Linked DNA regions of Tamandua tetradactyla. The protein of the gene in region 2 interacts with the protein of the main gene of each other region in a pairwise test. Links are inferred from orthologs where the notes say so. Each region holds a gene or a part of one and is shown on either strand. Other genes may lie near its edges. The genes, in order: TGOLN2 and AP2M1.

Region 1 (7,998 bases), on a different chromosome or scaffold from region 2:
TTTTTTGTATATGTTATTCATCACAAAAAAGAGGAGGAGTGTAACAGAGAAGATAGGATTTAACAAATGAGTATGACTGCTAAATCATTATATTGATATTTCTTTTGGTCTCCAGTGTCTTGGAGCAGCTAGAAGAAAAAATGAAAAATCATGGAACTGGAACCCATAACAAACTTTAACATCTGTTCTAAAACTGCTTGTTAAAATGTACTTGGAAATTTATTGCTTTTTTTGTTTATGTTATATTCCACAATAAAAAAAAAGATTCCAAGATGATTTGTATGCCTACTAAAATGTGCAAAGTGCTAGTATAGTGCAAAACGCACAGGATTTAGGAATCTAGAGAGTTGCTATCACATCCTCATTTTGCCACTAACTTGTACTGGGAACTGAGGAAAAAAAAATGTTGCTGGGCCTCAGTTTCCTCATCTGTCAAGGGAGGGAAGTGAAGTGGTATACCTGAAGGTCTCTTCTAGCTGCTACCTGGTTGGTACATATACCTCAATGCCTCCACTGTCCAGCAGCTCCAGAGATCCAATTCCTCCTATTTTTAAGTGCAAGCCTGCTTCTGGGCCCACCTGAGGTTGCTAATCACTTCTGTGAACGTGGCTCTTCCTTCCTTACCTTCTGGTCCAAACGCTGGTAGTCACTGGCCTTTGGCCGCCGTGCGACTTTGGATCTTTTTCCTTCCAGGACAAAAGCAATAATCTGGGGAAAGGAAAAAGGAAAGGATTAGCAGGGGGCTCTGTAATGATATGTTCCAGGGTCTGAAATCAGAGGCAGTTATCCTGGTACTACATTTTTAATGACCGTGACTGTAGAAAGAACATTATACCCACAAAGAATCCTAATTAAATCCTAATGATTTTAGTAGGACAGGACCCAGTTACATCAGAATCCTTTATACTCCTCAACAGAAAACAATTGCGGGAAAGCTCCTCTGGGCTCTAGCTTGTGGGAGTTGACTCACCAGCACTTGATCAAATATTACTAGTGAGCTGACAGGTCTGCCAATCCCTCCCCAAAGAGATCCAGAGGCTGAATTTTCCAGGCTAGGGCACTCCCTTTTTACTTTTTAATCATAATAATTATTATTTCACAACTGCAAACATACTTTCACCCCACATTTTGCTTCTTCAATTGCACTCTGTAACTTTCCCTCCCTCTTTCCACTCCAAAGGCTATTTCCCTCAAAGGAATCTTGGCTGTAGAGTAAGGGATGCACAATTTTACTAAAAGCCTTCTTTCATCCCTTACAACCATGGTCTGATGGTCTTCTAAATTCCTGGGGCTCAACAGGAAATGTGATTCTTTAGTCACTGAAGTGTTTGCAGAGGGATACTAATATCACTTCACACCAAACCCTGCAAAAGAAGTGCAATTTCTGGGCTTCTGTTTAAAGATCAAAAACCCCACTGACTGTAGTCCCTGGGCTCCTTGCTGTTGACATGTAAGACTATCTGCCACTACAGACATTCTTTTTGCCACTGTGCAAGGAAGACAGAAGCTTGAGAAAGGAAGCCAGACGTGACGCACACATCTCAAAAGCAGAAGCAAGGGGAGACAGATGCTCTAAGTACTTATAAACCGGCAGGTACTCAGCTCCTCTGAACCTAGTCATGGGTCTTAGTTCAAGATTATGGGCGGGGGGACTCACTTCAGGTCAGATCTTAACATCCCAATTTGGCACCTAATGCAGCAGCAGAGGCCACTCAGAGGAAATCGGTAATAGATGATATAGGCAACAAATGATTTATAAAACAGGCGTCAAGGACCCTAGCAGGGTTTGAAGAAAAAAATGGTTTGTCTTAAAATCTCCAGTGCTTCTGGGCTAAGGAGGGGCTGCTGACCCATACACCAAGATCTCCCCTCTCTAAGGCAACTCTTGACTTACCTTTCGCTTGTTGTGATAAGCAATATAGAGGACAGCAACAAGAACGGCTGCGGTCACCAGATACGCAAAAAAGTGGCTGCTCTCTGCACTAGCACTTCCAGGACTGCCCTTATAAAGGACACTGGATTCCCTGCTATTCACGGAATTCAAAAGCGGACCTTCTTGGTTCTCACTGGGGGCAGGGCCTGACATCTCTTTGGGTGGTAAATCCTCTTCAGGCTCTGTATTGCCTTCTTCAGGCTCCTTGGGCTGGAGATCTTCAGTAGGAGCTAAAGACTTATCTTCTCCCTCCTGCCGGGGAGAAGTGCGGTCACTGTCTGTTGATACTTTCTCCCCAGATTCTGTCTTAGAAACAGGTATGACAAGCTCTCTATTGTCAGCTTTCCTCTCCAAGTCAGCATCCTCGCCATTAGATAATCCTTTGGACCCGAGCTTGCTAGAGCTTTCGTTCGTGGACAGCTGTTGTCCTAGGTCCGGACTGTTAGAGCCTTTTGGGGGGGACTCTTTTCCAGGGTTCGAACTGCTGGAGCCTTCACTGGGGGACTGTGTTTCCGGGTCCGAACTGCCAGAGCCTTTATTAGGGGACTGTTTTCCCACGTCCGAACTGTTGGAGCCTTGTTTCGGGGACTGTTCTCCCAGGTTCGAACTGCTGGAGCCTCCTTCGGGGGACGGCTTTCTCGGGTCCGGATTGCTAGAACCTTTTTTGGAGGACGTTTTTTCCGGGTTCGAACTGCTGGAGCCTTCTTCGGGGGACAGCTTTCTCAGGTCCGGATTGCTAGAACCTTTTTTGGAGGACGTTTTTTCCGGGTTCGAACTGCTGGAGCCTTCTTCGGGGGACAGCTTTCTCAGGCCCGGATTGCTAGAACCTTTTTTGGAGGACGTTTTTTCCGGGTTCGAACTGCTGGAGTCTACTCTGAGGGACGGTTTTCTAAGGTCCGTATTGTTAGAGCCTTCTACGCAGGACGCATTTACGGAGTACGAACTGCCTCCACTGGAGTTCGGCTGGCTCACGGTGTTCTCGCTTGGGTTTCTTCCTCCAGAAGACTGACTCTCAGCCTTTGGTTCTTCAGGACGGTGGTCGAGATTATCGGCAACTGTCGTTGAGCTGGACGAGTTCCGTTCAGCTCCTGAAATACAAGGCGTTTGTTGGTCCTGGCGAGTCACGCCGGGAGAAGAAGCCCTTTAGGGCTGGAAGAGACCGGGGCGGGGGAAACAACGGTAGGACCGGGGTGGGGGTGGGGAGGAGTAGGACGATGGCGCGTGCAGGGGTGGGTCGGGAAGGGAAGAAGAGAGCCCAGAAGGTGAGGGGCCGAGGTAAGTACGGTGGGTCTGAGGGCGAGAGTGACATCTGAGAAGCGGGGGTCTTACCCCCGGCCGCGACGCTCAGCAGAACCAATGCAACCAGGAACCGCATCCTGCATGAGCCGTGCTTCCGCCCTCAACCACTCTCGCGAGATGCGCGTGCGGGATTCTCGTGCGCGGGCCCGTGGTCCCACCACCTCCCCGTCCGTCCTACCTCCTGGAGCCCATCCATTGGCTCTCTGGTATGGGGGCGGGGCTGCCCGGCGGCGGCGCTGCGCGGCCCCTGCGGAGGACCCTATCGCCTTTTCCACGTCGGCCCCGCCTTCCCCTCCCGCGCTCCGAACCTTGTTAACATCCTCCCTTACAGCACCCTTGTTCCCGCCCTGCCCTTCGGGGCCCCGGATCCTACTCTCCCATTCCTCCGCCCCGGGTCCTCCTTGCCCCGCCACTCTCCCACCTCGCCGAAACAATTTCCTCCCAGGTTGCCCAAGCCCTTCTCTAAAAAAAACATCTTTTTTCAAATCGTAAAAGTTATTCGTGTTCGGGTGCACGGGTGGTTCCGTGGTAGAATGCTCGCCCTCCGTGCGGGAGACCATGCACCAAAAAGAAAAGGAAAAAAAAGTTATTCATGTTCAAGGTCGAAAGTTTAGTGAAAGTATAGAAGTAAGAAGTAAAACCTTAGTCCCAACCTTGGCGATAATCGCTGTTGAGTATTATTTTGTTTGGCAAAAATTTAGTGTTTTCTATTAGATAATACTTTTGATGGTCCAAAAATCAAAACGGGATTTAAAAAAATCCCTGCCAGGGGCTTTTATCAATTTAGTGTGTTTCCATCTAGTGTTTTGTTTTGTTTAATTAAATACAAATGTACTTATTTTCCCTTCCTTAATTTGCATATTTTCTTTATATCTTTCTTATGCATATTCATTATCTTCCTAAATTGAGAACATTGGGTAAATACTTTTGTTTCCACTATTTACAGTTAGTGTTATGTTTATTCATTAAACATTGACTAAAAATCTTTTATGAACAGTTGCCAAGCTGGGCCCTTGGTAGACTGTGGCTATTAAAACAGTGACAGGGCCTAACTGCACGAATCTAGTGTAACATAGAAATATTAATCAAGGCGTATCTGTACAAATGTGTGTGCACCCCAATAGATGTCAAGGAAGAAAGGTACAGAAGCCCATGAGACCTGTTGAGAACGGCTCCTTGGTGCTGAGCGCCAAAGAATGTAGGCTTTCCTTGGGGAAAAAGAAGGGAGGAGGAGCTTCCCTGGCTGTCAGTAAGTGGGAAAGCCTGAAGCAGGTGGGACCTGGCATTTTGCCTAAATCTAAAGGTTAATCCAGCCTGAGAAAGAGGCTGGGAGTCAATGAACTGGGAGTTGTCCTGAACAAAAATCTCTAGGGGGCACAAAAAGTAAGGCTGGATTAACAGAAAATGTCATGCTAGCTAAGGGGCTGAAATGTGACCAAGCCCCACTCCTGCCAAAAGGACTGCAGCTGCCAGGGGAAGTAATATTCCCCTGGAATCTGTGAAGTACAATATTTAGTTTGTTGACATGCAGTTTCTAGTCCAAATTCTTTATAATTTCAAGGAATAATACGTGGCATAAATCTAATTTTAAGGAACAAGGACTGTACTGCTTTGGCTAAAGAAAGTGAATTGGTAGCTGAATTTGTTTCTGTATATACTTAATTTATATATATATATATATATATATATATATATATATATATAAGAACAATTGTAGGTTTACAGAAATATCATGCAGGAAGTACCAAGTTCCTGTATACTCCATCTCTCACACACCCAGTTTTCCTTATTAACATTTTGCATCAGTGTGGTAAATTTGTTACAATTCATGAAACAATATTATTATAATTATGCTGTTAACTTTAGCACACTGTTTACATTGTGTTGTACAGTTCCATGGTGTATTAGTTAGGATTCTCTAGAGAAACAGAATCGATACGAACACTCGCAAATATAAAATTTACAAAAGAGTCTCATGTGACCGTGGGAACGTAAAGTCCAAAATCCGCAGGGCAGGTTGTGAAGCCAACAATTCCGATGGAGGGTCTGGACGAACTCTACAGGAGAGGCTCACCAGCTGAAGCAGGAAGAGAGTCTGTCTCTTCTGAACCCTCCTTAAAAGACCTCCAGTGATTAGATTAAGCCTCACTCATTGTGGAAGACACTCCCCTCAGCTGATTACAAATGGAATCAGCTGTGGCTGCAGCTGACGTGATCATGATTTAATTCTATGAAATGTCCTCATTGCAACAGACAGGCCAGCACTTGCCCAGCCAGACAAACAGGTACCACCACTTAGTCAAGTTGACACATGAACCTGACCATGACACAAGGGTTTGTGTGCTTGCATGTGTGTGGTGACATACAAAACCTAATATTTCTCCCTTTTTTTTTTTAACCTTTTTGAATATACAATTTGGTGGTGTAAGTTACATGCACAAAATTGCATGTCTCTTTATATAATTTTAACTAATAAAAGGAAATTCTCCCTACCTTCCCTAAACAAACATTGGATTAATGTTAAAGGATACTGATTTGGTAGGGAAGCAAATTATTAAGTTTGAAATGGGGTTTAGAAGTACTTGGCAAGGGAGGAAAGAGAAATCCGGATCCTGCAGAACTTGTTGGCCATCCTCAGGGTTTTGTGTTTTGTCTTAACAGCAATGAAAAGGATTGAAGAGGTTTAAGCAGAGGAAAAAGATCATCAAAGCTGGGGATTTTTGAAAAATTCTCTGTTTGCAACATGACAAACCTTTTGAGGGAAGGAAAGAGTTAATTTAGGAGTTAACCAGTTAGGGAACTCCTGTACTAGTCCAAGTAGGACTAGCTTGGGGATGGAGAGAAGGGGTCCCATTCAAGATTAATCTGGGAGGAGACACCACAAAGATTGGACATGGGGGGATGACGGTAAGATGATCAGGATTGCTGGAGATGGGGCACAAGAAATAAATTTGCTTTGGACTCTGTGTCTTATGCCTCTGAGGCAATCCAATGGAGGTTAGGGAGTTGGAAATCTGGGCATGGAGTTCAAAGGGAAATGTAGGAGCCATTTCCTAAGCAAGTTAAACATTGCTCAAAAACACGATTTGCTAATGGTTTCACAAAGAATCATTTATGAGTTAATCATAATTGTTGTGACAATTCCCTTATTATTAAACATCTGGATTATTCTTAATTTTCTACTGTAACTACTGTTTATTAAGTTTAATACAGTAGGTGCTTTATAAAATGAGACAGACACAGAAAAGATAAAGCAATTTGCTCAAGATCACTCTATTATTTCACCTAACAATTTGATAGGAAAAAAAAAACCCTTTCTGTTGTACTTTAATATTTATTGCACAAGTGATTCCCATGACTTTGGGCAATTTACTTAATTGCTGAAAGTATCAGCTTTATTATGAGATGGAGATTAAAATATTCTGAGAATGAGAGAATTCATGTAAAGCATGGAATATAACATGGTGTCTAGCATGTGATTAGAGCTCCAAAATGATAATAATAGTTATTAATACATTCAATATATAAAGATTAATAAAGATAAGCCACAGTAAGAAAATAAAATAATCCTGTAATCCAGAAATAACTATTATAAAAATATTTTGATGGTTCTTCCTTTTATTTAGTCATATATGTGCATATGTTTGATTAATTGAAAGTAAAACAAGTTACAAAGCCATATGTACAATTCTTAGTTTGTGGGCCTCTTTGTGGTGTGGCATTTAGTGCTACTAGTCGTGTCACTTGTCTTCTGGGATGCTATCGCCTCCTTGTTTTCCACTGATTCTTTTCTCAATATACTTCAAGGGGTTCCCAGTTGTCATTAAAATGTTTCTAAAAGGAAAGTGAAATCAATAGTATCACATACAGCAAAAGGTTGAAATAGGATAAGGACCTAGAAGTAGGAATTTTAATAGAGTCATGAAAGCAAAACCTGGTTGCAGTGAATGGAAATTACTTTTGCTGGAAGTTTGGATGTGAAACATGGTTTCTAATATGGGAGAGGGTTGCAGTTATTTAAAGAGTTAAGGGAAGAACTCATTCTTTCCTGTAAGAGTGATCAAGGTTACCGAAGAGATAAGATGACTGATGAACAATGCACCAGAGATGAGGGGCTGAGGTCTAGGGTGGTTAACAGCGGACAAGGGGTTGACCTTAAGATCTGTGGACAGGTAATTAGATTGGGTAGGAGGGCAGGGCAAGATGGCAGCACAGTGAGGTGTGGAATTTAGTTGGTCTTCCAGAGCAGATAGTAAATAGCCAGGAATGGTACAGAATAACTGCTGGGGGAACATCAGTGACCAGACACACAGCATACACCATTCTGGACCAGGTGGAGTGGCTGAGAGCCCATGCAGAACTGTAAGTTCCCTAAGCTGCGGACGCCGGGATCCCTCCCCCATGGGCAGAGCAGGCTGGTTCCCCAAAGGGAAAGGAAACAGACTTTACTAGCAACAAGGGCTTAGCTCAATCATGCTCCAATTGTGGAAATAATTTTAAAATTTTGACTACTGAAAACAGGTTCCCACACAGATAAACCTGGAATAAGGACTAAAGGAAAAAGGAATTTTTGCCAAGTAGAGAAGGGAAGGGCTGATAAAAAAAAACAAAAACAAAAAAAAAAAAACTAGACATTTTTTGAGTTGGATAGCACAAAATACTGGGAAAGGGCTGGACCCCAAGAAAAGGGGCCATAGAGAGCTTGGAGATCCCCAGAGCAATGTACCAACTCACACTCTTGATTGACAAACCTGAGGAGTGGTGAT
Region 2 (8,592 bases):
AGGGAGGGGAGGGTCAACATTTCATTTAAATTTCCCCCAAACTGCCCCCTATTACCAACTAATGACCTCATCTGGAAAGGTAAGGAGAAGCTAAGCAACTTCTTAGCTTGAGTTGACCTATAGCCTTCACTTTTCTCCTCTGGAAAAATGTAAATGATACCTTCCTAATAAGGTGGCCATAGCCTTTGCATGAGATGAAGTGTTTTGTATCGTGCCTCAGGGATGGTAGGTATGCAATATCTGATTTCTCTCTAGATTCTCAGCCTTCCATATTCCCCCAACTTCTTACCTCTAAGTGAAGAGAAGAGAAAATGGCCAAATAAAGTTTTACTCCTTCTTCCAGTCCACTGAGCAGAGGACAATCTGCCAGAAACTTGGTAGGGGGGCTCCAAGGGATTGGAAGATGGGTGTCAGAATTTGGCACTGAGCATCTGAAATAGTGACTCAGGGCATTCCTGAGGAAGGTTTTCCCTGGGATTGTCTCTGCCAGGTCTCCCACCCCATGCCCCCAGCAGGTGGCAGAAGGGTCCAGAGGAGACATGAGATCTAGCAGCTCCCTCCTCCCATTCAGATCAGAAATTCCACTGCTGTTGGGCAGTTATCCAAAGCCAATCCACCCAACCTAGGCTGGGACCCCTTCTCTCCTAATCAAGATGTGTAGGGGCAAGGGATAGACCTAACTCACAGGCCTTCCCCTTGCCTCCACAGACATGGCTAACTTGTCCCTCCACGACCACGATGGCTCCAGTGGTGCCTCTGACCAGGACACACTGGCCCCTTTGCCACACCCCGGGGCTGCTCCTTGGCCCATGGCTTTCCCTTACCAGTATCCACCACCTCCCCACCCTTACAACCCCCACCCTGGCTTCCCAGAGCTGGGATACAGCTATGGCGGGGGCAGTGCCAGCAGCCAGCACAGTGAAGGTAAGGCAGAGGGGGGTGTGGAAGGGAGCTGCAGACGGGCTCCCAGCTCGCTCTACAGGATTTCAGCATCCCTACCCGGCCCCTGCAGGCAGCCGGAGCAGCGGCTCCAACCGCAGTGGCAGCGACCGGCGGAAAGAGAAGGACCCAAAGGCTGGGGACTCGAAGTCAGGCGGCAGTGGCAGCGAGTCAGACCACACAACACGCAGCAGCCTGCGGGGACCGCGGGAGCGGGCTCCTAGCGAGCGCTCGGGCCCGGCAGCCAGTGAGCACAGCCACCGCAGCCACCACTCGCTGGCCAGCAGCCTCCGCAGCCACCACACGCACCCAAGCTATGGGCCTCCTGGTGTGCCCCCACTCTACGGCCCCCCAATGCTGATGATGCCCCCACCGCCCGCAGCCCTGGGGCCCCCAGGGGCCCCCCCGGGCCGTGACCTGGCCTCAGTGCCCCCAGAACTGACCGCCAGCAGACAGTCCTTCCGCATGGCCATGGGAAACCCCAGTGAGTTCTTTGTGGATGTGATGTGAGCAGGGCCCCTCACCCACTGCCAGCCTTTCCCACCCTGCCAGCTGCGTCCCTCTCTCCATCCGTCCATCTTTTTTACTTTGGTACCTGAAAGGGAAATAAACGGAACTAAATCCAGACACCCTAACTGCTTATGGGGTGCTGGGAGGGTAGAGTATACCCACCAATTGGCTCTGCAGCCCCTAACCTGCCTTTGGCCGGGCTTCTGCCCCCTACCCACTAACCTCTAGACCGGACTTCCCAAGATACTTCATTTCTCTGGCCTGCAGGTGATTAGACATGCTGTTGCTGCTGTTCACACCTTACCCTCCACACACACTTTAGGAGCTGACCCCAGCAGAGTCCCGGGATCCCTGCTCACCCCACCCCATTCTTTCCTTTTCCCCCTCAGGTCCTTTTCACCGTTCATTCAGCTACACCAGCTCCCTGTTAACCCACCTTCTCAAGCATGTGTGCAAATCTCTTGACTTTGCCCCAGAATGCTGCCACCCAACTACCACACACAAAAAAATTTTTTTCACTTCATCTGCTGCCCCTAACTTTTCCCTGCCTGCTGCCTCAGCCCTGCACTCTAGAGCTATAGTCACCTCCAGTAACCACCCATGCTGTCCCTGCCTGTGCTCAGCCCTGACCAGAAGCCCAGAGGGTCCCTCAGTTGCTTGAGCTGCTATTACATTCCAGCGAGCATCTCTTCTCAATTTCCCTCCACTCCCCGCCGTGCCTGGCCTGCGTGCTGGCTCCTTCAGACTCCTAACATTACTAACAAACAGGCTCGTCTCACCTCTGGGCCTGAAATATTTCTTTTCTTTGTTTTTTCCTTCCCCAATTTTTCCTGGGCCTGGAGCAGCCAAGAATTTCGGGCTGTTTGACTTTCTGTGAGTCGACAGCGAGGGCCTCCGAGGAGACCAGGAGCCCTACTTCAACAGCCCCTCAGGGCTCCCCAAGGATGTCCAGCCCCCACACCCACACTTTCAGCCTATTGAGTCACTAGGCTTCTTTGGGAGGGCCCCAGCCTCTCACCAATCACCTTTCCAAAGTGAATGTTCTCTCTCTCTCATTCTCTCTACTTCTCTTTTTCTTTCACACACACACACCGCACAAGGTGGCTATACAAGTTTGCTTAATCTCAGGGCTGGTCCCTGCTCAGAGGACTGAACCCCTCTTTTCCAGTTCTTTCCCAGGTTGTGGGGCCGGTTCCCTGACTTCCCTCTCCCCTCATCATAGTTGTAAAGCTTCCCACACTCATCCTCTCATCGTCCTACCTGGATAAGGCCCATAAGCTGGCTCTAAGTGGGCTCAGCAGAGGACTCCCCAAGCAACCGACAAAGGCCATTGTCACCACTACCACTCTGCCCCCACCATACACACACGCTTCCTTGTTTCCACATTAACCATGACCCCAGAGCAAGGACACAGGAACACATGAGACAGTTGAAGTTGGACAGGGGAACTTTTGGGACTTCTAGACAGTGCCAAGTTTTCTTGTATTACTTTAGTCTCTCCTTTAAACAAATCATAACTTCTTTTTAAGTCTCTGCCATAAAATCTCCTGGCTCACCTACACTCACCTAGGTCGGAATGTTAAGAGTGAGGTGAAGTCCTTCGTGCCAGGCTTTGGGGCAAACCAAGGTAGGAGCGTTTTGGCATTCATTCATTGAACAAATACTTCCTAGAGTTTTGGTGAACAGAGGGCTGTGCTGGAAGTGTGCTCAGTCTTCCCTGCCCTCTGGGAGCTCTGGGTTTGCTCCTATCCAGGGCTATGGCTTCCTCTAGCCACACTACAGGGCTGTCTCCTGTACTTCTCTTCCCTTTCTGACTCTGCCTTGTTCAACTCTCTTGAGAATTCCTCCACTACTACACAGGTCTTTAGTATCGGTGCCCCCCCTCCCCAAGTTCCTTCTTTGGTCTATTTCTCTTTCCTTTCTACTTATTCCCAAAATGGTCATTGATTGTCCTGTCCTCAATTGCCACTGATATGCTGGTGGTTCCCATATCTGTCCAGCCCCAACTTCCCCACTAAACTTTAGATCTGTATTCTTATTATCCACTGGACTCTATGGACATATCCATGTGGACTCAAGTCATCATCTTCCCCACCAAGTATGTTCTTGAATTCTATCCTGGTTATCTTTACCACATCTACAAAAGCTCATAAACTAGAACATTTATGGGCTATAATTCCTTCATCCCATATTTTACCAGTCAGCATATCATATCCACTCTATTCCAGCAATCTCTATTGAATTTGGCCCTTCCTCTCCCCTCTGCCTCTACTTTAGTGCACTGAGTATGGGATTTGGAGTCAGATCATTCTGGGTTTGAATACCAGCTCTACTACTTTTCAGTCATCCCCTTCTAGGAGAATCATTTAATCTTTCTGAGCCTCAGTTCCCTCATATGTAAAATGACGATAATAATACCTACCTCACAGGGTTGTTGTGAGGATTTAAATTAGATATTGTACGAAAAGTGCCTAGCACAGTGCCAGGCACGTAGTAGAGTAGGTGCTCAATAAATGGTAGCTATTATTATTACTGTTGTTATTGTTACTATTATTGACTGAGTTGGCAGGAGTTTAAGAGATATGTGTGGAAGATAAAGCTTTTGGAAAGGTGGGACAGAAGCCTTGAGTGCTGGTTCAAGCTTCAGAAGTGCCTGTATTCACTTATTTAGTGATATCAGGCTGTGATTATGGTTTGAGGGAGGCCAGATCATCCTGCCACATTCTAGCTTCCGGCAGGAGGATGCTAGGGATGGTAGGGTTTGCGACCAGGTTTCTTTTCTTGCCCTTCCTTCCTCCCAGGACAGGCTCAGCCCTGCCCAGGGAAGGCAGGATGCCATCTCTGTCAGATGAAGAAGAGCCAGCAGATTTCAGTCAGGTCCTGCAAAGGCCAGGCAGGCATTTCCTGTTTGAGGATTGGCTTTGTCTCCTCTCAGCTTGGATGTGAAGATTAACTGTCCATCAAAGAGAGGATTTCAAATCCCATGCCCAGTTGAAGTCAACTCACCATATCTCTGAGCAATATATATTTCTGTAACTAGAAGGCATACAGGTCCTGGCCTTGAGGAGCTCAATCATATAGACATAGCTGAGATAGAACATAGACTTATCCATGAAAAGCTCAGCTTGTTTCTTCCAAGTATTTGCCCCCACTCTCCTTGCGGGTCTTGATTCCTGGAAAAAGGTACGTTATTGGACCAAATATATGATGAAAAAGCTTAGGAAATCAGATTCGATTGCCTATTAGAAAGCGGTAAACTTCAGCACCCACTCTTTACAGCCAAATCGTATGTTTGTGTGTAAAGTAAGGACTGCCAATCCTCGGACTCCGGAGACTGAAAAGGCCTACAATAGAGTGCTTAACAGATGGGCTTCAATCAAGCGGCATTAATCCTCTAAGCCGCTCCAAAACAGGGGTAAAAGCAGAGACTACAATTCCCAGAATGCCTAGTGGGGAAAATAGGGTGGGCGGGGCGGCGTACGCGGGGATGTGTATTTCGGACGGGATGGAATAAAGGCTACGCCCAAAGGGCGGGGCGCGTTCCCGAAGGCTGTCGGTAGTTGTAGTTTTCCTAAACTTAGACCTCTCACAACTTAAGCGAGAAGGCCGAGGGGTCTGACGGGACTTGTAGTCTTGGCAGAGGACGAACGCGCACGCGCAGCAGAGGTCGGGGCGGGGCCGCGGCACTGCGGTGAAAGCCGAGGCAGCGGGCTGGCGAGCAGGGGGCGGGCGGACATCTTGGGATCGCTGGAGTGGCCCGGCCGGCCGAGCGGGGGGCCGCAGACACCAGGTGAGAGCGGGATCTGGCTTTGAGGGGTGGAGAAAAGCGCCGCGGGTCGCCTATCCAGCCGCCCAGCTTTGCCCTTGCCTGCACGGCGCTACGCGGAAAGCTGCCCACACCCAGGAGTGGCCTCAGCCCTCGGATCCGGGAGGGAGCTGACGGCGAGACTCGGGCGCCCCGGGCGCGGTTGCGGGATGGTCAGGGAGCGTCCACCTGACCTGCCTGGCGCTTCGTGGGAGAGGGAAAAGCACTAGAATCTTCCCAGAGCAAGGACACCGCGCGGCTCCCCCCTCCCCAAGATCGTGACAAACCTTCTACCCCTCGGCGCCTCCTCCTCTCGGCGCAAGGACGTTTCTCCCATCTCCTAGGACAGTGACACCCCCCGATCCACCTCCGTGAACTGTGACAAGTCTCCCAGCCCCGGCACCCCCCTCCTCCCAGGGTCTCAGTCCTCTGACACAGCCCGCACCCCGCTGCACCATCTTTTCCCGCGGCGGTCCCTGTCCACTGGGCGGAAAGCCCACTACCCTCTTACGCCTCTGCACCCAAACCGCAGAGCAGACTCCGTCTCCCCAGCTTTCTTTTATTCACTGTTGTCAATCTGTCCATACCGGGTTTTCCTCCTCAGCCCCACCTTTTCCAGACTAGAAACTCTTTCCTCTAGGCGCCTTCGTAGCTCTACTTCCCGCTGTATGGGTTCACCTGAGTATGCCGCCTGGCTGTGGCTGCTGGTCTTCTCCCTTGGCTAAATATTCCATTCCTGTCCTGGGCCCCAACTCTGCTGCTCTGGTGCCCTGGAGCTACCTACCACTTGATACCTGTGAACTTCGTTCTTTGCCGAGGACTCTCCCTCCATTTTGCATTTCCTTTTCCAGCTTCTTTGGGACTGCGGGCTGGGATGTGTCCACCACCCTGAGAGACTTCTCACTAGTCTGGTAGACCTTGATGGCCACAGTAAAAGTCTACTTTCCAGTTTAGAAAAGCCTGCTAAACTCTCCCCTATGAAATTAATACCAGGGCTAACCTAGGAAATCTAGAACCAAATTAACTCTTTTTCTCCTCTCAAACTGTCTAAATTAGTTTGACCCAAATAATTTGGGTAATTCAAGAATATCTGACATCCTTGCCCCTTTCTTATGGGCACTCAGACTAGAAGTGAGTTAATTGGTGGGTCTGAATAACAGAAATTCAGATGGGAAAATCAACCTCCAACCCATCCCCTGGATTTAAGAGGGAACCTCTCATTTTGAAAATAACTGTGGTAAGCAAAGCTTGGGTCACTGAAGTATAGTCTGTCTGTCAGGGCGGGGGCTCTTTTGCCTGCTTATCTGACTGCCTGGGAGAAGTTGGGGCCACACACTTAGGTCCATGTCAGGGCCTGAAGCCTCCCTTCTCTCTTCCTCCCTCACCCTGCACACCCTTTCCTGGAATGTGTAAGCCTGTGGAATTAGAGAGCTGGCAGTTCTGGCCCTGCTGCCTTCTTAGAAGGGTAGTAGATCCTGAGAGCTCCTAAGGCTGTGCCTGGGGGCCCCATGCCTGAACCAGCTGGAGTAATTCCTACCGCCATTCCTCCAGCCGCAGTGACTCACTAACTGGAGCCTGAATGAGAATCTGCACAGGAGGGGGCCAAAAAGGAGCCTCTCTGAGCTCAGTGATGTGAAGAGGGGGAGGGGGCCACCGTCTGGGCTCAGCCCCAGAAAAAGGAGGGTCAAAATGGCCTAGATCCTAGGCCCAAGTCCCTCGCAGTCTTTTTCGTCCTTCCAGTGTGGAATAAACAGGAACTGGAGCCTGGCTGAAGGGAGGGGCATGCCTGGAAGGGCTGCAGGATCACTTGCTCAAGGATTGAGTCAGGAAAAAAGCCCCACCAGTGACCTGCACCACCCTACAGGGAATGTTGCAGGGGTTCTTAGACCTTCCTTTACCCTGTCCCTTCCTGTCCTAGGCCTGTTCTAAGAGCAATGGACTGTGGAGACTGAGCTGCCGCCATGATTGGAGGGTTATTCATCTATAATCACAAGGGGGAGGTGCTCATCTCCCGGGTCTACCGAGATGACATCGGGTGAGTCCTCTGGCTGAGCCATCTATGCCCCTACTACCCCTGCCCCTCTCCTCAGCATGCAAGACTAGGTTTATTCCTAGCAGAGGCTTGACTTGTACCACCCTCGCCCCTTGCTGCATCCTGGAAGCTCAGCTAGTACAAGTTGATTCCCATTAGGTGTGCTGGCCTGGCACCCAGCTTGCAGGCTGCTAGGTGAGACTTGTAGAATCGTGTAACTGCCTCAGGCTTAGGACTCCTACCCTTCATGCTTCCTTGTTTCTCTTAGTGACAGACCTGGTTGCTGGAGGAAATGAATGCTTTTTCCCAGGCAGGTTGATTCCTCCTCTGAGTGGAATTAGTGGCCAGGCTGCAAGTCCTAATCCAACTAAGTCTTGTTCTCAAAAGCCCTTTTCACATTTCACGGTGGGAGCCTTCACTGGATTCTCTCAAAAACCTCCCCAGGCTGCCAAATCCTCCCCACCCCCCCTTTCTCAGAAGTAGCCAGGCTGCTGATTCAGCCATTTTCAGTTCCTCTAGGCCATTCCTAGAGGAGAGGTCCTGAGCAAGCCTGAAGCAAACCACAGTCACTGAGGGAAAAACAGGAAGGCCTTGCTCCCTTTCTGGCCTATATGAAGCAGACCCAGAACAGTTCTTTGTCATGAGTCCCTGAGACTACAACAAGGAACCAGAGCCTCACCTCTCATTCTGCCGCAACCTACTCACCACTGTTCTTTTCTGAATGAGGGGTCATAGCCTAGCCTCAGCAGCTCTAATGAAGCTAGGCTTTTCTGGTTCCTCCTGCCGTTTTCCTCCCTCAAAAAGCTCGGGATAAGCAGTGACAGAATGGATATGTTACAGAGCCCCTAGCTCCTTGGTTTCCCAGCTGACAGGCTGACTTGGCCATGGTGGCTGTTTGTCCATTGGCTGGTGGTGGGGCATGAGCTGGAGTTGGGGCAATGCCTGACCTGCCCAAGTCTGGTTGGCTACACCCACCCATCCCACCTGCCTTGTACGGATCCAGTTAAGCCAAGGCCAGGGCACACACCACCTTGCATGCCTTGCTGGGCTCTATCCCCTTGCCTGTCACTTGTCTGCTTCTACCTCATGGTGTGTTCCACTCACCCCAGTGTGTTGTGTCTAACCCTCTCTCTCGTTACTGTCACTCTCCTCGTCTTGCTGGCGTCATTTCTCTCATCCCATCTCATTGGCTGCCGTAGTAATAGGTAAGCGGCCTGTCAAATTGCCGCCCAGGCACAGGTGGGTGGGGGACCCTGCCCCCATCATTGTTTTCTCTCATTCTTTTTCATTCTCTGAACTTTCCCTG

Evidence for each region.
Region 1: the proteins of AP2M1 (region 2) and TGOLN2 interact in a two-hybrid assay, tested with the Homo sapiens proteins (2 studies listed by BioGRID). The link is inferred for Tamandua tetradactyla from reciprocal best matches to the Homo sapiens genes AP2M1 and TGOLN2.

The regions. Positions count from the first base shown.
Region 1 is NC_135343.1:59,576,529-59,584,526, reverse strand, and holds the start of TGOLN2 (trans-Golgi network integral membrane protein 2), read right to left. Parts: upstream 3,374-7,998; 5' UTR 3,309-3,373; coding exon 3,263-3,308; intron 3,022-3,262; coding exon 1,895-3,021; intron 709-1,894; coding exon 625-708; intron 1-624. UniProt on the Homo sapiens protein: May be involved in regulating membrane traffic to and from trans-Golgi network.
Region 2 is NC_135336.1:2,441,071-2,449,662, forward strand, and holds the start of AP2M1 (AP-2 complex subunit mu), read left to right. Parts: upstream 1-5,125; 5' UTR 5,126-5,239; intron 5,240-7,172; 5' UTR 7,173-7,215; coding exon 7,216-7,289; intron 7,290-8,592. Other genes in the region: DVL3 (segment polarity protein dishevelled homolog DVL-3), read left to right, coding at 709-924, 1,013-1,449.